Lytechinus pictus: one gene and its partners. The main gene of each other region encodes a partner of the protein of the gene in region 3 in a complex. Links are inferred from orthologs where the notes say so. Each region holds a gene or a part of one and is shown on either strand. Other genes may lie near its edges.

The links. Proteins that work in one complex are often made in the same cells at the same time.
Region 1: protein CWC15 homolog (region 3) and E3 ubiquitin-protein ligase RNF113A-like share a complex: the UniProt entries of both Homo sapiens proteins name them as parts of the minor spliceosome. The link is inferred for Lytechinus pictus from reciprocal best matches to the Homo sapiens genes CWC15 and RNF113A.
Region 2: protein CWC15 homolog (region 3) and cysteine-rich PDZ-binding protein-like share a complex: the UniProt entries of both Homo sapiens proteins name them as parts of the minor spliceosome. The link is inferred for Lytechinus pictus from reciprocal best matches to the Homo sapiens genes CWC15 and CRIPT.

The regions. Positions count from the first base shown.
Region 1 is NC_087247.1:22,149,210-22,156,679, forward strand, and holds the start of E3 ubiquitin-protein ligase RNF113A-like, read right to left. Parts: upstream 3,051-7,470; 5' UTR 3,036-3,050; coding exon 2,943-3,035; intron 2,031-2,942; coding exon 1,932-2,030; intron 1,353-1,931; coding exon 1,245-1,352; intron 83-1,244; coding exon 1-82. UniProt on the Homo sapiens protein: Required for pre-mRNA splicing as component of the spliceosome. As a component of the minor spliceosome, involved in the splicing of U12-type introns in pre-mRNAs. E3 ubiquitin-protein ligase that catalyzes the transfer of ubiquitin onto target proteins.
Region 2 is NC_087251.1:29,280,834-29,288,290, forward strand, and holds the start of cysteine-rich PDZ-binding protein-like, read left to right. Parts: upstream 1-4,407; 5' UTR 4,408-4,776; coding exon 4,777-4,792; intron 4,793-7,457. UniProt on the Homo sapiens protein: As a component of the minor spliceosome, involved in the splicing of U12-type introns in pre-mRNAs. Involved in the cytoskeletal anchoring of DLG4 in excitatory synapses.
Region 3 is NC_087260.1:19,048,631-19,056,653, reverse strand, and holds the start of protein CWC15 homolog, read right to left. Parts: upstream 3,010-8,023; 5' UTR 2,898-3,009; intron 2,753-2,897; exon of another isoform or gene 2,665-2,752; intron 1,653-2,664; 5' UTR 1,622-1,652; coding exon 1,491-1,621; intron 1-1,490. UniProt on the Homo sapiens protein: Involved in pre-mRNA splicing as component of the spliceosome. Component of the PRP19-CDC5L complex that forms an integral part of the spliceosome and is required for activating pre-mRNA splicing.

The DNA.
Region 1 (7,470 bases), on a different chromosome or scaffold from region 3:
GTGCTGTGTCTCTCTTCTCAATGTATGTATGATAGTTATTGATTCCTCTGTACTTCTTGTCATCCTCCTCTCCTTTCAACTCCTACATGAGCAGAAAAAAACAGTGAAAATGATAACCATGTCCTGTCTACAAGACATTGACTGTGCTGTAATGAATAAAGAGTGATTAAGCTGCATTTGATTTATGGCGGTTTCATGGTGTAGTGGTTCCTTCTCTTCATCAGAGGGTCAAACCCTATCCCTGATTCTGATTTCCTTTAGGCAGAGAAATTCATCCATATTGGGTTGCACTTAAATAACCTGACTGAGGCAAACCGGGAACTGGCAGGAATTTTTTTCTCGAAAAGCAGACTATAAAATCAGCTCTGCTAAAGACAATATATATGTGCTGAATTGTTGTACAATGATTAGGGAATTTTCTGATGCAGAAAGTATTAATCCCAATATATTAAAGCAAGTATAATCTTCTCTTGCTGATGAATACAAATCTTTTGTTTCATTGCTTGTATGGGAAAGCATTTGAAAGTTAGGGACTGTAGGCTACTCTTGGTATTATTCCCTTACTTTCCTACTGTTTGCCCAGCCAATGGGCGAGCAGGCCAAAACATGGTTGGGGCAATAAATTTTGACATTTTTGTGAGAATGAATCTGCATTCTGGGAATGGAACCAGGTGCTACTTGGCTCAGGCTTAAACTTAATGATATAAAGTACCAACATGGGGCTCTGGCCAAGGAAAAGAAGACGAAGAAGAAAAAAGAAAATGAAAATAAAAAAGGATCAAATATATCATTTTTCATTATTATTGTCAATATCCATCGCAAAATTAGATTTCCAATTTAGTAAGACCAGAATTTTTGTTTGCTCACAACTTTAAAGATATTTTTCAATATATGCCATGTTGTCCTTAAAATTTTCAGCTCATTTTGCCACTGTAGAGTATAATGAAAAAACCTTGACACACCAAATTGACACAAACAGCTTCATGCTGGCCCAAGCTATTGCCAAATGCATACTTAATATGTCCCATTAAAATCAATGTTAATTGGCCGGTTTCATAACTAATTGGAACCAGGCAAATTTTTACACTGATTTCAATGGGCAAAGAAGGCATTTATACAGTCATATCTTGGGCCCCCATGGTCCTCTTTTATCAAATATGGGTTGTGATGTAATCGCTCCTTGTTCTATTCAATGTAGCTGTGGCAGATTGGATTGGAATAGTAATGCATTATTCTTTGCATACCTCATTGATCTTCTTCTGTTTCTCAAACAATGCCTGTGCATCTTCATTGAAATCTGTATCCAGGTTATAGGTTGCTGTAGCACCCCCATCTTCTGGTCCAGTTGGTTTCTGAAAAGTTAAGACCATCAATAACTCAAACTTTAAAGGAATGTAAAATCAACCCTTTATCCTGGGAAAAAATAAAATCAATGCAGGCAAATCTACTGAACTCAAACCTCTTAGCATCACAGAAATCTGCGTGATTTGGGTGCAATTTGGCTTGGAAAATTCATTTACATTGTATATTCTGGTTTGAAAAATGCTTAGACTTGGGCAAGCTTTTATGAAAGGATGACTAGTGAAGACTCTGCTGAATCTGTTCTTCACTCATTTCAAATTGCTAAATCACCTCAAATTGACCAAGTATTTGTTCAGGAGTCAGGATAGTTTCAGAGTAATTGTGAAGTCAGAAGTCAATGATTTAAGATGTGGAGACAGGTATGAACTGTCATAATTAAAAATAATCTCTCTCCTCCTTCGATAAGAAATGTAAACATAAGATGGAGATGCCATTTTGATAAATAGCCAACAAGTCATCAAAGATGAAGCAAGACAAGTTTTATCATTTTATTTTGTAATGTATGAATATTTCGTTAAAATCATTTTAAGAATGATGAAGTATTGAATGACAAATAATTGAATACTCACAGCGGATCTACTGGATTTATAGCTGACCATCGTATCCTTAGATTCATCTTCACTACTGTCACTGTATTTGATATCTTGCTTCTCACTCAGTTTCTTCGTCTAAAATAAAGGAAGATATTCATATTAAAATCTTTATTGCAACTACTCACCCCTCCCCCCTTTAATACCTGCCAAACTGGGGTAATGATAAAGTTTGTCTTGGAATTAAATTTTATATTTCTTGCAATAATCAGTAATAGGTGCGGTTATGCAAATCTTGGGATCAACCTATACTTGTGAATGCATGATTTCAAAATACTTTATCTTACATTAATTACTTTTCATAATCACTTATTTTAAATTTCTTTTCATTTAATTACTATCTATTCCACTTTGCAAAATAATTGGAAGAAAAATGATTAATATGTAAACAAACTGTATATAAAAAATGTTAAAGGAAAAAAAACAGCAAATTACTCGTACAATTGGAAAAGCATACATGTGTACAAACTACAGTCCAATGAATTTTGAATTTCAGATTGCTGTTATATGAGAAGGCTATATCTTTATCATTTCCTTTAAACTGTTTTAATGAATTACATGTTCCTTTATTCATTGGTTGTACAAGTGTTAGTATAAATTAGACCCAAATTTTTACTTCAGTAGTACAATTAGCAATTAATAATTCCTTTAAATTAGCAATTCCTTTTAACTGTTTTAATGAATTACATGTTCCTTTATTCATTGGTTGTACAAGTGTTAGTATAAATTAGACCCAAATTTTTACTTCAGTAGTACAATTAGCAATTAATTAATGAGACTTTCATTCCAGAAGAAATGTTGCCATACAACAAACCTATACCTAGCCATCAAGCGAACACAGTATCAAATTAACATCTCTCCTGAAATGATTCCAGAGTATGATAGACTTTTACACTAATTTTTACAAATCTGATAAACAATGTACAAGGGAAATATAAAAATAGTGAAATAGACAAGTCAATTGTTGGTACAAATGCCGAATTGTATTACCTTTTGTCTCATAGGATTTGGAATGGCTTGTCTCCTTTCTTTCCTTACAACAGCACTCTCATCTTCATTACTTCCTATATAACAAAAGAACATAAAAGGAAAATAAGAAAAGCACTTTAAAATAACTTTTGAACATATAAAGAAATATCAAATCAGGGCTACTGGTGTAAATAATCTACTGGAATGAGTCAGAACCATTCTGAATCCATTATGAGCAAACTTACTTGATATATGATAAGTCACATAGGAATGCATACAGGGTTTATAGGCTAGGTGAATAGTCAAAATGACTATCATGACTCATGAAATGTAGAAATGAGTTAGGCAGACATAACAATTGAAAATGAAGTGCAAGTAAAAACTAATCCAGACTACTTTAAGGGGAAGTCTGCCACAAAAGAAAGTTTATTTCAATAAAATAAAAGAAATCAAACAAGAATCAAAATGGGATGTAAAAATACAATACTATTTCAATATTTTGCTTAATATCACAAGGGCATATCAAAGGGGGTGTGGAGGCAATGGCGGATCCGGGGGATCCGCCATTGCTAAATTACATTAAAGTTCTTGCATAATTTTAGCATTTGAAATTGAAACAAGAGTAAAAAAAAGAGGGACAGTGAGAATTAAACCAAATTTAGAGAAACACCAAGGACAATTGAGCCTGATTGAGTGCAATTTTGATTGGCATGTCATTTTGATCATTCGGCTGATGCCACAACAAGCTTGCAAACGTACCCCTCTCAAATTGCACATGTCGGGTGTTCTTAAACAGCGGCGTGTGGCTATATCGACACCAACGTTATTGGATACAGCCACAAGCGGGTAATTGCATAAAATTATTTTGGATATACTATTAGTGAAGTGGTTTACTACAGGTGGCATGTGCAACTGCACTAGCACCTCTCATGCCCTAGATGTTAAGCACTCATTAGCACCTACCACTTTGAATAAAATGTAATGCTTAAAAAAATGTCTCCTAAATGGAGACTCAAGTATGTTTTTCCTTTTCAATCTGTCACTCTTGACTTTGTCATCGTATATTCAGAGCAAGACGTAAGGACTAAATCTGGGCACAACGCAAGGAAAAATTGGTGAGTTTTAATCCAGTTTTCATATATATATACCTTTTGTATTATATTTGGGTGGCTGTCCCAAAAGGCACTCTTCCTACAGTAACTAAACCTAAAAATTACAAAGGTTCTATGTTAAATATTACGGGAAACAGCTTAACAGGGCATTTTCCCACTCCTACTAACAATGGGGTCAAAGCATAACTATTGACCTCATAGGCGACAATAGCGCAAATAAGGGGTGGTGTATTTGTAGAAAGTCGGCATCCCCGTAGCAACACACAAATGCACACAAAGATGGGGGGGGGGGTGAATTGTCTAGTGATTTTATATTTTTCTTTTAATTACAAACATTTTTAAAGTGAAATTAGTTCTTGTATATTTTTGATTTGATTTGATTTATTTCATTTCCACATTTCAAAACAAAAACAAAGAATATACAAGTATAATATTTTTTTTTCAATATTACATAATAGGCAAATATTTTTTTAAACATAATGAATAATGCACATAAATCATTATAAAATATCAACTGTACTGTGAAAATTATATCTATATATACATTTTCTTTAATTAATGAACATATATATATATAGAAATGTGGGAGACCTCCATCTTAAGCTTGGAGCTTGAAAGTGATGGAGTCCTCGAAAGGAAAGTTAAGATATCACAAATTATATCTAATATGAAAATTTTGATCAAATATCTGTCGATTTCATAGAATGGTGCTTGGAAATCTGACAACTCTTGCAGGTTTCATTGAGGTCCCATTGCCACCTAGTCCATGGGCAATGCAAGTCACTCATCCAATGTAAAATGTATAATGAATAACCTTGTCCTCTGTTACAACTCCCTGTGTGGTAAAATAAGGTTGGCAATGTTTGGCTTATTTTCTCTTGTTCTTGGACTTACACTTTTTACACTGTCAGTTTCTATTACAGCTATTCATCATATAACTTGGCTCTAACTTAGATTTACTTCTTTTTTCAAAATTAAAAAGAGATTGTTTGGTGACAATTCAGACCAAATTTATTTCCCACCAATAGAGGGCCCACACCAAAATATGCTCAAAATAAAGTTTTTGAGTGCTCTGGTAAATTAAAATATTGATCTCCAAGTTAGTAATTAAAAAAAAAAAAATCATAACTGTATAGGACTGTATGAGTATTTTGGGTTCCAAAAGTGATATTTTATAGAATTTTTAAAATGTGTTATATAGTCTATAATATGTACATTCACCACAGGCAGGGTGGTTGCAGTGAACAAGTTAAAGTGATGTAAGTTTTGTTTTTGTCAACATGTACGTTCAACTATAAAGGGGGAGACTAGGTTAAATTATAACCTCGTGTATAGGATGATTGTAGTTAAGTCATTATAAAAGACCTTTTCCAGCAGTCCCATACAGTTATACTTGTTATGATTGTTCGTCGAGTCCAGTTTCAGCTCCGCCTTCGGCCTTAATCGAAGCTCCGACTCCGACTTGCTTATGACCTACATCACTTGTTGACAACAACCACCCTGCCTGTGTGGTATCTATGCAGTAATACAACACACATATTAAAAATTCTAAAAAATGACTTATGTTTACAAAAGATCATGCTCGAAATTTGACGGAATAAAGCCATATTTTGGTATGTATTTCTACTCCCCAATCATATGTTCTATATTAGGGCTAGATATATTATTCTGAACCTTCTCCATGTTTTTATTTTTAATTCTAGTGGGGGTGCATATGGAACTCTTGCTAAAAAACAAGCTCCTGGTAGTAAGTAAATAATTTCCATTTACCATATATATTCAACATTAATTGTACCACAGAAACACACATGACTTTTATTTGATTCAATGATTGCATGTTTGTTTTGGTCCAATTATGCTGAAGACAGAGAAAATAAGCCAAACATTGCCAATACTATTTCACCACACAGGGAGAACAGAGAACAAGTTTTTATTATAGGCTTGTTTATTGAATGAGTGACCTACATCGCTGATTAGATTCTAATACACCCATGGGTTCATTTCATCCCGCGTGCGAAGGAATATCAAATGCACACGACACATGCAAATCTTTCATGGGCTTTTGCCCAAATAAAAGATTATAACACTAAAGCTATAATTTCACATTGTGCTATGACACTTATCGAACAATATGGATCCTTTTTTTTTAATGTATTTTTTCTTTATCTTCACGTAGATGCCCTTTGATCAGCGACAAAATCAAATTTGGCCTAAAGAGGGCGCGCAATTTTATTTATAAGCCGGTTTGTTTACGGTACTGAAGCTTGTACTGCTAGCTGCATTCTAGACGCCCAGCATTATTTTCTTGCTCGTTCAGTCCACTTTCATCATCATCTTGTCAAAAGATGGCGTACTTCACCTATAAGTATATACATGAGATGCACTCACACAACATGTGAGGTTAGTATTACTAACCTCGCACAACGCATGTGATTTCATAGTGCATTTTGACGTTTTCATTCATCACACGAATGTGAGGGACTAAAACACGCCAAACCTTTAAATATTTTTCCACTATGTTAATCTTGATCGTATGATTTAAGTTCATTGTAAAAAGGAATTGGAAATTATTTATAAAAGTGTTTTTATCGCTTACCTCCAAATCTCAACCACGATACTTCGTTCGATCCGTCCTTAGTCTTCTTCTTCTTCTTATGTTGGTTTGAGTGGCGATTAGTCATATTTGACTATTGTCGCCATTGACATTATTAATAAAAAATCTCACTTCTCACATAATAATATTATTACCAATATGATGTATACATATATAAAATATTTTTTTTGTATCCTTCTGATATGAAAGAGGATAATTATGATATGTACAAAAGTTTGCAGTAACTCTTGTCAAAATGGCATATAAACAAAACTTCACCAAAAACAAACCGCTATCTTCAGCTCAGTTCCAACTAGTTGCGCTTGCCCTGCCCTTTCAAAGATGCAATCATACCGGTCAGCACGGTACATTGTGCCGATTTTTCGGACATAAATGCCTAGGTCACCCATGCATAGACGAGGGGGCGCTAGTGTACCTGTGCTTACAGATGGGTTAAACATTAAAATAATTTGTTTCTTTTTTTTAAACAACAACAACAACAAGGCGAAAACACTTGTGGGCTTTGTTAGTTATATGTGCAGAATATATCATATTGTATATATTATATCATACATTATTATGTATATATATATATTTTTTCTTCTTTTCACATTAGACTTGTACAAGCATATCCATTCATATTTCTTATAGACAATACAATATTAAAATAGTACATCACTCCTTACTAAAACGTTTCGTTCTTGAAACGAAACGTAAAAATGCTTTCTGTATCCCTGGGTCATCTTTTTTTAAATACTCCATTATTTGTCCTGGCTGTGATTCATTCAATTCTACAAGGAGCATTGATCTTTCAATTATATATTTTGGACAATGTAAAAGATAA
Region 2 (7,457 bases), on a different chromosome or scaffold from region 3:
GAAATTTCAAGGCATTTTCAAGGCATTTTGTATTATGTACTTTCATTTGTTTTATAAGTAATTATAAATGTTTCAGTTTTTTTTAAAATATTTAATGACACTATAATGGTCAATACTACCAGTCACCAGTAACATTAGCAGCAGCAGCAGTAGTAAGTGTACTAGCAGTGTCATCGATTGTAATTGTCACCATTATCAAGAATTTTCAAACAAAGAATACATCAGTTATGAAAATTAGCATTATGTATTGGTAATGTGTTGTAATCATGACTAATGATGATAATGACAGTAAATAATAATGATCAAGATCAAGATAATAGTGCTTTGATGACAAGAATAAATTTGACATCTGACTGCAATTTTGACAAAAATGTTCGTACTTTAAACATAGCTAACTCTAAAGCACGATAACAAGGTTGATTTCTATTCCATTAGGATTTTCCTTGTATTATTTTCTTTGGCCAACAAGAATGTTTTAAGTCTTCATGATATTCTGAAAAGATTTGGTAAGCTTGAACACAGTCTTCAATTTTGTCATATCCAAATGGGTTATGTCAATGGCATGATGAGCCAGAAACTTTGAGGGGCCAAGCATGGCATATAGAGCAACATTTCTGTCCAAAAAAAAGAAGAAAGCGATTGAAGCGAGCGAGTGAACAAAATTTGTCCCCCTCTTTCTATAGGAAAAGCTAATTTTGCGATAGATTGTTTAAAAAATAATATCACATTTACTCCATCTTTTCCTTTCCCTTCCCCCCTTATCTAAGTGTATTCTTGGTGGTAGAACTTCTTCTTCTCTCTATCTCTTTTCTAAATTGTATATTTGTTTTGGGTCAGATTGACAAAACAAAGGGGGAAAATGTTTACTTCTTTTTAATCATATATCGTTCAACAGTGAATTTCATTTCTCTACAGTTTCAAGGAAATAAACAACGTATTTGTTTTTGTGTCAATATGGTTTCAAGAAATAATGATTAATAAAAAAATAGTAATTGAATAATTAATTATTATTAATATTATCAACAAGTATTAATGATGGCAAGACATGTCCTAGGCCGCATACATTCGTAATTCCGAAGCTTCGTTATTCCGAAGGTTCGGATATTCCGAAGGTTCGTTATTCCGAAGGTTCGTATTTCCGAAGGTTCGTAATTCCGAAGGTTCGTTAGTCCGAAAAAGAAATGAGGTTCGTAATTCCGAAGGTTCCTTAGTCCGAAAACGAAGTGAGGTTCGTAATTCCGAAGGTTCGTTAATCCGAAAACGAAATGAGATTCGTAATTCCGAAGGTTTGTTAGTCCGAAAACGAAATGATTAACGAACCTTATTTCGTTTTCGGATTAACGAACCTTCGGAACAACGAACCTTATTTCGTTTTTGGATTAACGAACCTTCGGTACATCGAACCTTATTTCGTTTTCGGATTATCGAACCTTCGGAATAACGAACCTTCGGAATAACGCCACAAATGTTCGGATTAATAAAGGCAATTTTCGTGTTTCGAAATTACGAACCTTCGGAATAAAGAACCTTCGGAATTACGAACCTTCGGAATTACGAAGTGTAACCGTGCTAGGCTAGGGCTAGCTTAGGCTAACGCATTAACTTTACCTCAAATCTGGACCTGTCTAATGCCTAATACTAATAGTAATAGCCGACTAATGCCATGGTTTAAAACTTCGAACCAAATTCCGAACTTTACGTTTGATTTTATTTAACATGGTTTAATATTTCTAGTCCGTATACAGAACCAGTCCTAGATCTAAAAAATATCTTAGTTCTAGTCTAGTCTCTAGATCTAGACTCTGATCTACGCTGTATCAGCATGGAACAACTAGTGTACCAAGGGGGGGGGGGCGCAGACTGCCCCCTGACAATTTACAACTGATCCAGGGGACGTGCCCTCCCCCCTTTGAGAAGCCAAATCAATAATTTGTAATGTCAAAATGCAACAGAAAAAGACTTATGTCCCCTCTTTTGAACGTGAAGATCTTTTTTTTTTTGCTTGTCAATTATTTTTCAGCTAAGAAATCCTTAATTTGGGGGGGAAGACGGGGATCAAGATCACTGACGTTAGTTTGTGCCTGACGTTATAATACGTTCCATGCAATGCAGTGGCGTAGCTAGGATTTTTTTTATGGGGGGGGGGGCACTGGGGGGTCCTTGCTTTTTCGGGGGGGGGGGGCCACCGGCCATTTTTTCCGGTGTGTGTGTATGTGTCACGAGGGCGGATCGGACTTTCGCCAATAGGGGACGGGGCCCGAAATTATTTCACCTATGTTTTCCCCGATCAGTCACTTCTTAGTTTTATTCTTATAAAACAACATAAACATGAAATAATCTCATAAGCCTTATAAAAAGTGTGAGCACAAAGCGCGAGCTCAAAAATTTGTGATATTCCAACCTGAAAACTGGACACTCTAAGCATTTTTTTTTGTGAACGGGAAGAGATCGAGTACAATAATTGATGCGAGTGCAGGAAGCCAGCCAAAAATTTGTGATATTCCAACCATTAAGCAACATTCTATACATTTTTGTTACCATGAGCAGGATTAGTACTGTACTAAACAATAATTGATGCAAGCACGATTCAAAATCTGTGATTTTCGAACCTAAAATGTATTATGTTTTATTATTAAAGAAGGTATATTTCTTTTTTAAAAAGGGCATATTTCATTTGGAAATAAAAATCCTACAGGGATTTTTTTTTTTGGGGGGGGGGGGGGCTAGAGAGCACAAAACGCAAGTTAAAATTTTTAAATGCTTAAACTGAAAATGAGTCATTTTTTAGGACTCTTGTCAGCTTTCTTTTTTTTTCTGCTTACAACCACTTTTAAATTTCAATTCTCATTTCTTGTATCTTCTACACTTATTTTACCTTAAAAAAACAGAATAAAGAATACTAACAAAATAAAGTTATATTCAAAAGGATATAAAGTAAACAGGGCGCACCCCATACCCTTAGTTGGGAGAGGGTAAATCTTAATTATTTCTTTAAACAGTTAATCAATCATTAATTATTAATACTTGTTGATAATATTAATAATAATTAATTATTCAATTACTTTTTTTTATTAATCATTATTTCTTGAAACCATATTGACACAAAAACAAATACGTTGTTTATTTCCTTGAAACTGTAGAGAAATGAAATTCACTGTTGAACGATATATGATTAAAAAGAAGTAAACATTTTCCCCCTTTGTTTTGTCAATCTGACCCAAAACAAATATACAATTTAGAAAAGAGAGAAGAAGAAGTTCCACCACCAAGAACACACTTAGATAAGGGGGGAAGGGAAAGGAAAAGATGGAGTAAATGTGATATTATTTTTTAAACAATCTATCGCAAAATTAGCTTTTCCTATAGAAAGAGGGGGACAAATTTTGTTCACTCGCTTGCTTCAATCGCTTTCTTCTTTTTTTTGGACAGAAATGTTGCTCTATATGCCATGCTTGGCCCCTCAAAGTTTCTGGCTCATCATGCCATTGACATAACCCATTTGGATATGACAAAATTGAAGACTGTGTTCAAGTTTACCAAATCTTTTCAGAATATCATGAAGACTTAAAACATTCTTGTTGGCCAAAGAAAATAATACAAGGAAAATCCTAATGGAATAGAAATCAACCTTGTTATCGTGCTTTAGAGTTAGCTATGTTTAAAGTACGAAAATTTTTGTCAAAATTGCAGTCAGATGTCAAATTTATTCTTGTCATCAAAGCACTATTATCTTGATCTTGACCATTATTATTTACTGTCATTATCATCATTAGTCATGATTACAACACATTACCAATACATAATGCTAATTTTCATAACTGATGTATTCTTTGTTTGAAAATTCTTGATAATGGTGACAATTACAATCGATGACACTGCTAGTACACTTACTACTGCTGCTGCTGCTAATGTTACTGGTGACTGGTAGTATTGACCATTATAGTGTCATTAAATATTTTAAAAAAAACTGAAACATTTATAATTACTTATAAAACAAATGAAAGTACATAATACAAAATGCCTTGAAAATGCCTTGAAATTTCAAGGCTCAAAATCCTCAAGGCCAAGGCCAAGGCTTGAATGTTCAAGGCCAAGGCACTACAACACTGATTAGTACTAGGCATTAGACAGGTCCAGATTTGAGGTAAAGTTAATGCGCTAGCCTAAGCGAGCCCTAGCCTAGCACATGTCTTGCCATTAATGGCAGCTAGTTTGAAAAGTGTTTAAGAATTGGATATATATAAGGCATATGTAACTATGTAAGAGTACCGGTAATTTGACGATGCTAATATTCATTCTGAGCAACTGAACGTGAATGCTTACGACCAGCACTGGTCGAGGCAGAGTCCACGCGCATGCGTACTCTTAATCCGAAGACGCAAGTCATGAATATTCATATGTTGGTCCAGAACTCGGTGGGAAAAATAATTTCGCCCCCCGGGCGCGGCCCCTGTGAATATTGTGTCTCGCTCGCTCACAAATTTTAAAATTTTAACACCCCAAAATCTACTGAGATATTGTTTGAAAATTAATTTGAAAAACACTCCAAGCAGCTTTTTCTAAAGTCTTTGTTTACAAGTACCATGGCATATTCGGTTGTATTCGAAAGAATACCACTGACTGGTCATCACTGGAGAAGACAAGCTCCTCGAGCGATTTGATGAAGTCCGCCCTCTAGCGATTTGAGCAGCACAAAATATCTGACAAAACAAATCGTCTTTCGCTCTTCCTGAATATTCGGCTTCTTGTCTTTCAATGAAGTTTTGATAGATTAAGATGGTGTGCGAGAAATGTAAGTAGACATGCCGATGATTTCGCATTTTATAAATTATATCTATAGTAGTGAAGTTTCATTGTTTAAAATTGAAACTCACTTTTTTGGCCTTTTTTGTAATGTATTTTTGGTTTTGGTTTAGGGCTTAAAGTTAAACACTACACAGTTTTCAATATGTGGGCAAGTGGAGTGATAGCGGATCCTTGACTTTGAGTTTGTTATTATTGTTGATATCAATGACTTGTAAGCTTCCTGTATTTCAAGCCTGTCTTTAAGGAGAAGTTAACCCTAACAAAAAGTTTATTTATAAAACTAGCAGAAAAAATAATGAAAAATATTGCTGAAGGTTTGAGAAAAATCCATGTCCAAAACACGAAGTACCGTCCATAGTCGTACTCGTAGACGTAGTGGTTTTCAGCAATCCTACAAGAAGCCACCGGGAGTTACACTTACAGGCTTGCGCCTTCATCCTGTACCAGATGATGATGATGATGATGATCAGTCTTGTAGTCGATTCACCATGGTCCGAGTCCGAGTCACCAAATTAAAATGTCATATTTTAATTTGTTTACTTTAAACCTTTTAAAATTACTTTAAAGTTTTAGTTTGACATCATACAATCAATCAAAAACAATCACTCACCCAATCAACAATTGTCAATTGATTCAAATCAACAAATACTTTATCAATTACAATTAAAGAGAAAAAATGACAAAGTAAAGGGAAAGCTGTTGACTTTGAGGTAAATAATAATTTATGTACAGTTATGAGTTAACTCTGCGTAAGTCGAAGTCGCATAAGTCGAATAATCAGAACATCCAGGACTCGTTTGCAAATATCAGTGCCTGCAAGAAATACAACATAATGTGTCTTTGATGCCACAGGGTCTTACCCATTTCAAGATTTTACAAAAGCATGAACAATTTGTTGCTCTTCATTCAAACATCATTACATCAATAGTACCATCTTTACAAATATGTTGTGTACAAAATTTGTAGAAAATGTATTACTCTAAACAAATGATACCAAATGTTCCTACTTTATTCAATATCATGTGTTAAATATCAATGAAAAAATTTGAAAACTTCAAGATGTAAGAATCTCAGAAACAAGGATTTTATATCTTAAAAAGAAAAAAAGAGAGAAAGAAACAGTTCAACTGAAGTGTGATTTATAGACTGCCGAGTTCGCCCTACGATACAGCCTAGTTACCCTTGCACTCGTATACACAATACATGCAGCTGCACAGTGCAATGCAATGATGTGCACAGCTTTTAGCGTTGAGGCAAATCATGGGCAAATCAACTTTATTATCAATCGTAGGATATACATTTTCCATGAAATATTATTGGAAAAATACTTCAAAATAGTGAATAATACTGACTATTAAATTCACCAGATTAGTATTAAATCTTCCTGCCTCGAGCCGAGTCATCGAGGCCGCATGCTACGAGGACGAGTCCGAGTCACGGCATTACGAGGCCAAGGCAGAGGACTGGCAAAGCCTGCCTCGAGACCTCCAAGACTGATGATGATGACACAAATTTGAAAAAAAGTCACTGAGTCTGAAAGTTCAATACTGTAGGGAGTGTAGAAGCTAGAGATCTAGACTATTACTTAGACCTTAGTATTTGAATTTTAATGATATGATTTGTGACGTCATATGCTAGCAGCTTTACTACAGTACACATTGTATGGAAAAAATCAATGAAATGAAATATAATTTTCTCAGAAAATTGAAAATGTTTTTTACGGTATGTTCAGTAGACAATAGACAAATTATTTCACTCCCAATTCCCGTTCCTAAAAATGAAATAAAAATAAGTGAGTCATCACAGACCATTATTTAAAAAAACTTGAAATTCATGCATTTTAATTTTTATATTACAAAACATATGGGACAGCTGTTCGTTTATGTCACAGATCCAAAACTTAAAATTCTAATAACTTTCTTAATCTTTCAAACCTTCACTGATATTTTTAATTATTTTTTTCTGCTATTTTTACAACAAACTTTCTTCCGGGTGAAATTCCCTTTTAAGTTTAACTTCAACTTTATTCTAAGTATAGCTCGGGTACCCCCTCCCGGCCTCCCCCAAGTACATCGAGGCCTATCACTGCACTTTTCCATTTCATAAATGTCCTAATACTGTCTGTATTGATGTGAATCATGGAAGGTATGAAAATGAATTTACAGTCAGTAGACTCGTATCTAGATCACTCATTCAATGAACAAGGTCTAGATTTACTCGATCATTTTGGTAGGGTGCCCAATGGTATATCTGCAATTTCCCCCTTTTTTTTCACATGATATGAAACCTGGTTCAAGCAAAGAATGGGCTGAAAATATTCAAGATGTAGATCTATTAATTGTATCTTTCTTTGTTTCTGATAATACACTAACTTAAGTAAATGTTTACCTACTTTCGTTTAACTACATGTAGTGTTCAACTTCAAGGAATCAAGTATTTTTTAAGAAAACATTGCAGAGAGAGAGAGAGAAAGGGTGCTAGATACAAAAACCAAGCCAAATTTTAATTCTAATGGTTGAAGAAAGACTTAATGGTCACTATACTTTTGTAAGGTTGGATTGTTGGATGATACACAAGTATAATTCACTTTATTGGCCCTTTAACTTTAAATGTTTCACCAAAGCCTTAGACAGGCTCTTAATAACCAAACT
Region 3 (8,023 bases):
CCTTCATGCCACATCTGAAGATGATCGGAGAAGAAATGCAGCTGTTAGAGCGCTTACAAGGACATCTCTGCTATTTCCACAAAAACTTGTTACCATGGCAACGATGTCTCTGCCCACACCAAAATCGATAGGCGGCTTCGCGATACCACACTCAACCTTCATGCTACATTTGAAGATGATCGGAGAAGAAATGCAGCTGATAGAGCGCTCACAAGGACATCTCTGCTATTTCCACAAAAACTTGTTACCATGGCAACGATGTATCTGCCCACACCAAAATCAATATGCGGCTTTGCTTTACCACACTCAACCTTCATGCTACATTTGAAGATGATCGGAGAAGAAATGCAGCTGGTAGAGCGCTCACAAGGACATCTCTGCTATTTCCAAAAAAACTTGTTTCCATGGCAACGATGTCTCCGCCCACACCAAAATCGATAGGCTTCTTCGCTATACCATACTCAACCTTCATGCCAAATTTTAGAAAATACACTCATATCTAACTCGATACAGTGTACAGACACTTAGGCCATGAGAAGTAAGGTATTAGATTTGCATCCGAAAATTTTTCAAATGGCATGAGGCTTATTATTCATTATCTAGCGCTAGCGGCCGTGTACATTTTGCTTATTACATGACGTCATCCCAGCCACTGCATGCCGAGAGCCAATTTATGAATGAAAATATAGTAAGCATGCGCATTGCATTGCAAGCCTTCCATAGCCCCACACAGTATTCCACCAAAACAAGTGTGCAATTCTCTATCACCTCGTACCAAAATCGACCTAGAATTTCACTTTCCTATATTTTATATGAATTATGAAAGGTATTCTCGGAAGATCTATTTTCTCACCGATACCGCACAGGTAAGTGAATTTCGATTACTTCTTGCTTTTCGGTCAAAATCTTACGAATTAGCGTCGATATGGCATCGGGTTCGTTGGAGTTTGTAGAGTCTATCGCAACGTGTACAAAGTCAATTGATTTCCGGGTTTGGGAGCGTCGCGTGAATATGCATGAAATTACTGAGTTTCAATAATTTTTGATCGATACTGGAGCGATCCGATCACGAACCAAGACCATTTCCCGCGAAGACCATGTGACCGGATATCGTTATCGCTTTCGATACTTTCGCACGCAGTCCGAAGGAATTATTTTGGCGACCACGTAGTCATGACGTGTTCTGCGCGATTGGCCAATCAGCGATCTCCGATTCGCTTAGCCGAGACAGTCTATCCGTTGTACACAGTCTATGGACAATTTGCCACAGCTAGCTTGCTGTGCGAAGATCGAAGGTGCGCTGCAGTGCTATACCGTATGCACGTAGTAAGTGCGTATTTACTGCCCTGCGATGATTTGGAAATTGTAATTTCGTAATTTCGTGAGTAAGTAAATGATTTTTTTTTTTAATAATGAAATTTTCGTGCGGGTGGTTTTGGAGCATGCGGGCGGTGGACGCAAATCTAAAACTTTCATTCTCTTGGCTTTACCTGTATTTCAACTTTGTATGCCCTGGGAGATCACGACTGGAATACTGCTTGGATAGAGCACTCAAATCCCCTTCTCCTTTCCCACTGCCTCCCTTTGCTGGGTTGAACGTTGGTCGTGCTGCTGTTGTCATCTTCGGCTATCTATCCTTCCTTCGTCGACTACTGAATTTGATATCAGAGAAAACATGTAATCTGGTTACACTAGAAGCAGAGATTAACCAAGTAAACACAAAACATTTTCAGAAAGTTTTAAAAAATAAAATGTCTTCAAATTCTTTAGGCACTTTGAAAACAGCAAACTTACATGCTACAAGGGGCGGTTACAAAAAAGTTGCAAGCAAAGAAAAAGGTCTCCAAATAAGTAAAATGTGATACCAACCTAATTCATGGCATTTGAACCTCCATCTGATACAATTATCTTACCTTACCAAAACTTGTACACATGTGACATGCAATACATATTTAGACAGATAGAATCTAATCATAATTTTTTTTTAAATCGGACTAAAATTGTATAAGAGTAACAAATTTCAGGCATTTCATGTGACGACCTAAAAATGCAGCCTTTCTCGTCAAAATCCCTGAATCGTGTGTAAACATAAAGTGAATGGATCATTGACATTGGTAGACCAAAAGCTTCAGTCTCTGTATTTTGGTTGTTCCGCTGAACTACGTTGGCTCCACTCACCATACATAAATGGGTAAATGGGGATTACAGTAAAATGTCAGAAATTGTTGAATAAATCCCCAGAAACGACGGTTATTCCTGTCTATGACATTGGGTGCAGTGCGCGCACGCAGGCATTTGTTTTGTACTTCAGTTAACTTCAAGTCAAACTGAAATTTAAAAAGAAATGACTGGCCAAGGTTTTTTCCAAGAAAATCACATATTTCTCTCACACTTTTTATGAATTGTTTGGCAGACATACGGTAGGTGACATGACACCAATTTCAATGTATGGGACTGTAAATGATTTTTTTTCGTGATCTGATACCAAGCAGGGAGTCATTAAATGGATCAAGCCAAGGTAATGCAGGTGTTATATTTCTGTACAATTGCGGGAACATATGTGGGAGGTAATGCATTCATACATGTAGAGAGGGTTATGAATCTATGAAACGAGAAGCATAAAGAATAATTAAATCTATAATTTAGTTGTGAAACTCCACTTACCCAAACTAAACAAAAACGCAATTTCGCAAGTCTGGCTATAATCGAGTCGCGATTGGCGCCATCTACAGGTAAAAATGTGAAGTACAAATTTCGACAAAACGGAAATACCGTGGATATCACAAGAAGAAGAAAGCTAGAAGACATTTTTTTTACTTTTCAAAGTAAATTTTATTTACAATAAAAAAAATTTTACAAATAAAAAATATGTTATCAATGTTGCGCTTTACACTTACAGTGATCGCATTTCAACCACTAATTACGGGTAACATGTAAAACAACAATTAAGCATGCATCGATCGTTAAAAAAAAGTAAGCATAATAGTTACAGGCATTGATTATAAGAACAAGAAACTGTGATGCCACCTGGCACGAGTGGAGGGCAAATAGGACTCAAATATAAGAGCCGCTAAAAAAGAGGGAGATATATGTACAACTATCAATGCATAAAAAAATCAATAATATTAATGCAAAATATACATACTTAGATTAACCATCATCTAAAATGAAAAGTTGTTATAAGACTTTTTTTTCAAAAGCCAAATTGTTCTGTACTTTAAGAAAAAGGAGAATATTTCACCGGGAAAAAGAGAAAAGGGAGAAGGAGTGAAAGGGGAAAGGGAAAGGAAGAAAAAAAGAGGAAAGGGGGAAACTAAGGGAAAGGGAAACGGCCAGGTGAAAAGACTAAGGGACAGGGAGAAAGAACATAAATAGGGAAAATGGAAGGAAAGCGGGAAAAGGAAGGTGAAAAGAAAGTTCAAAATATCCTGAAATACTAATATATTAGCATGATTAGCAAGAGAGGGATATAAAATAAAAATTTAAGATATGACTCAATGATACGGGCAAGAATGGCGGGAAAATGGGAGAAAGAGACAAAAATAAACGGGAAATGAAGGTAGACCCAAAATGGCTAAATTGGAAAATCAGAATATGAAGAAAATGAACAAGATAAAAGAAAGAAAAGAATTTAATAAAACGACCGGGCTGCCGAGAATAGAAAAATATTGAGAACGGGAAGAAAGGTGGATGGCGTCTATATGAGCATGCTAAATTTAATGCAATATGGTCGCAATCAGGACAAAAAAAATAATACTAAGGGCTAGTTATTAAATCCCTCTATGTCCTATAACCTAAGTAAAGCTTTATGCTGGGTATCGAAAAAAGCCTCATAATGTTTGCTATTTGGCTATAGATTTCCAAAGCTACTATCACATAATTAGAATTTCATTTCAAAATCATTTGAAAAGGCCAAATTTGCTATGCTGTGCTGCCTCAAAATATTTAGTATATTATCCGCAACTGCGTTGAAGTTATGTGTTTTTATGTGTATATACCCGCGATTTGATAAAAAAGGTAGCCATCTGCAATGTTTAAAAACATCATGGTAGAATTATCCTTAATATTAATAATCGGTCACATGTTTCTATTGACTCAATTCATGAAATAATGGAATGGCAAACCCTGAAGTCTAGGCAAAACTTTCATATTCAAACAATGATGTTTAAGATCCTCCATGATTTGGCTCCCAAATATCTAACAAAATACATATTTTACACCTCAAGACCTTACCATTTTCGAAAAAATAATTTGTGCCTCCCCAAACCCAGAACTAATTATTGCAAACGCACATTTTTCTATAGGGGGACTAAGTTGTTTAACAGTATCCCAAATAATATTCGTAATTGTATGACCTTAAATTCTTTTAGATCAGCGTTGTCACATTTGAGACATTGATTTCTTTTTTTTGGGGGGGTGGGGTAGTGGGGTAGGAGTAAGCAAACTGATAGTGATTTTTTTTTTCTCTCTCCTTTCCTTTTCTTTCTTCCTTCATTTCCCTCTTTTGTCTTTTCTTTTCTGTTCTCATTTTCCGCTCCCTATATGACTCTCTTTTTACTTGGTCCCCATGGAAGACCAGCCGCACATATAATTGGTGCAGCTGAATATGGGTTATCCAACCGTCTCCTGTCTTAAGTTTGATCTTTTAACTTTCTTAACATGTTTCAATCAATCATTTTTTTTTCTTTTCTTTTTTTTAATCAATGTTTAGAATTCATTTCATTATGTATGTGTATGTTACTCCTTGTATCTCTTGTTTATATATTGTTATGTATTTTTTATGACGGAAATAAAACAAACAAACAAACAAACGAGGTTCCGCCGCGGCGGCGGCCCCAGACATAGTGACGGACCAAGGGGGAGGCACGGGGGGGGGGGGTATTTGCCTTCAATGAGTTGGCCCCCCACTTGCTCCCCCCCCCAAAAAAAAAAAAGTAGAATGTTGTCTAAAGCTGCAAAGTGCTCGATCAAAACAGCTTTTTCGTTCTTTATATTTTAAAAACTTTCTTATCCATTCACTGTATATAGCTCAATTGTCAACATAAATCTTTCAGGCCATAAAAGTATATAAAATTAAAATTTTCGCTCGCGCTACTTGATCTCAGTAACTGTTGACTGAGATCATTTACATGGGGCTTAAAAGTCCAGTGTTCAAGTCAATATGCTCCTCGCGACTAGAGTTTTTTAGCACTGAGATGATACACATCCTGCGTATTCATAATTTTCATAAATCAAAATCAAATTATTGTTTAGTAAGATAGCCATTCAGTTCATGATATTATAAAGTGCTTCGTCCAGTTATCATCTCAGGATACCAAAAATTATCAGCTCGTGCGCTTCGCGCTTGCATTATTTATTTGGTGAGATATCATCTTCATGACCCAATGCAAACAGCTATATACAGTCCCTTTTAAAGCCAGGGCCTGCATTGAAAACAATCAGCTCACGCTTCTCGCTCGATTTTGTGAAATATAGGCAAAAAATCGTGTTGCCCCCCCCCCCCCCCACCAATGCCACACTGCCCCAAACTCTGATCCGCACAGCACTGGCCCCCAAAGGTTCTGCAACCGAGAAAAAAAAAAAGATGAAAGGAAAGGATAGGAAGATTTAAAATAAATTATGATGCTATTTTCTGAATACCATGGGCGGTATCAATCAAAATCAAAGTTAGATTCATGAAAGGGTGGGTTTTTTTCTCGCTATAGCTCGCTTCGCTCGCTCGAGACTTATATTTGTGTATTTGTATATTTAGTAGCTTTTGCCTCAGGCGCGCCTGGCTCTTTTTTTGTACTTATCATTATACGCTTCGGGCACAATCATAAAAAAAATATCCTGTTCAGACCATGATAAATCATGTCCGGGAAATTTGTTGCTCTTGCCCCCCCCCCCCCCCCCTCACCTCTCTAAGAGCAGTTCATGATTTGTGCTCGCATAGTGTGTTTTGAAGTACCCTGACGGTAAGTTGTTCTTTTTTACAATAATAATAAAACAAAACAAAAACGTGCTTAAAATGTTAAGCGTGTTTCAAACTGGCTCCGGCTTTGCCCTAACCTTAATAGAATGAGATAATGATCCTCTGCATGACTTACTGCAAATTGAATTAAGCCATGATCATTACAGATCTATTAATTTGAAGTAAAAAAATACATAAATAAAATAATAATGAAAATTCAGCTCGATTCAGTGCTCATATTTTTTTACTTCATGGTCCAAAAACTTAATGTTTTCATGTTATTCACGAAATATCCGAAATTGGAACTCGGCTTTGCGCTCGCATTTTGAATTAGGGGTTACATCACCTTGTTTGTATAATGATAATGTGGAAATGTACTAAAAAAACTTAGGTCTTTTGTTGCCTGGGAATATATAACCCTTCAAAATAAAAAATACTATCTACTACCACAACTAATAAGCTTTTATAGCGGCCTATCGGGGAAAATGGATGAAAATATTCACCAGATTTTCCTAAAGTTAATTAATTGCCAAGGTGAGTAAAACTTGAAATTATAGGACAAAAACATCTGCAAAGTATATATGCCAATTAAGACAACTCTTAATTGGCGTGCGGAAAAAGTAAATTTCAAAAAATATTCAGAAGAAGGCCATACTATCTTTGTTATAATCAAAGACCAAATTATCAACTGGTGGATCGAGCAGGCGGGCTGTCGATCCCCTCTTTCAGCTGGTTCCCTGATGAGCTGTTAACTTTGCTTTCACATCACGTCCTTGAAGGACTTCTCCTGTATAGGTTTTCCGGTCTTTACTTCAGGTATATGCTTGACGATTATCTAGCCGACAGTTTAAATTTGTAAAACTTCCCGCGTTGAGAAATGGAGGTTTTAACCCCCCCCCCCCACATAATTGTACAACAGATGTTTAAACCTTTCCAAATAGAGAAAAAAATAAATCAAACAAGCATAATAACGCAGTTTATCAAATCGGATGTAAAATAAAAATTAATAGTGATTTTGATGAATGATTTTCACCATCAAGCTTGTTTGATATCGATTTTTTTTTCGGTATCAGTTGTTTAAATCAACTTTGGGTGGACTCCCTTTTAATAATGTCCCTTTTTTAATAACAATAGATGCATTTGAGATCTGCCCCTATAGGCCTATATACCACCGTCCCCGGAGTTATGTAGTCCTAGAATTATAAACCTTTAATTCTCTATTCCAGTCCAGAGGATGTCCCGGAGGATCATGCCGCATTTCATGTGCAACAAATTATGAGAAAAATGTCAAATAGCTAGCTATAACGAGAATATTAATGCTCTAAGTCTTCCGAATAAAAGTAATTTTCTTAAAACGGAAACTTTCAATTAGCACCATAATATCCTTTTTGCATTAATTTTTATTGTAAAAGCAAGGAAGAGTTATTTGAATGTTGCCCTCTACTGTTCACTGATACCGATAATTTTGGCAGCCTAATTTGATCGTGAACTTATTATTGTTTATGGAATATTATAAGTCCTGACAGCTCAAATAACTCAAAAGCAATGTTGACCACAGCTATTATTTGGCTGTAATTTTTCAGACTTCAAATATAGACCGAAGAATTTGGTGAGTACCTGATAATTCGCCGATTAAATGGTTGTATTCCGAGTGATATTCATATTGATGATATTCGACTGTCACTGTCGTGTCGGTTGATCGATGAAGAGCGGTGATGATCCAGCAAGTACCCCGGAACTGTGGGCGAGGTAACCCAAGAGGCTCCGCTGAGCCTGAGACATGCATGCTGCGCTGGCCGCGCCGTCGTGTGGGAGGACTATTTTGTATCCCTTAAAATCGCCTTTCATGGTGTTTATGGCTTATGTCTGCTCCCTTGTCTCCTAAAATTTGCCCAAATTTGCACCCCTAAATAGCGTAATGTATGGCAGTGTATTATAGGTATGTGACAAAAAAAATGAAAATCATCAAATATGAATAAATTTGGTATCACTTGAAAGCTCTTAAAAAGACCTTTAAAATGATACCAAGAACTTTAATTTTCATCAAGAAATTATAAAGTTATTCCAGTT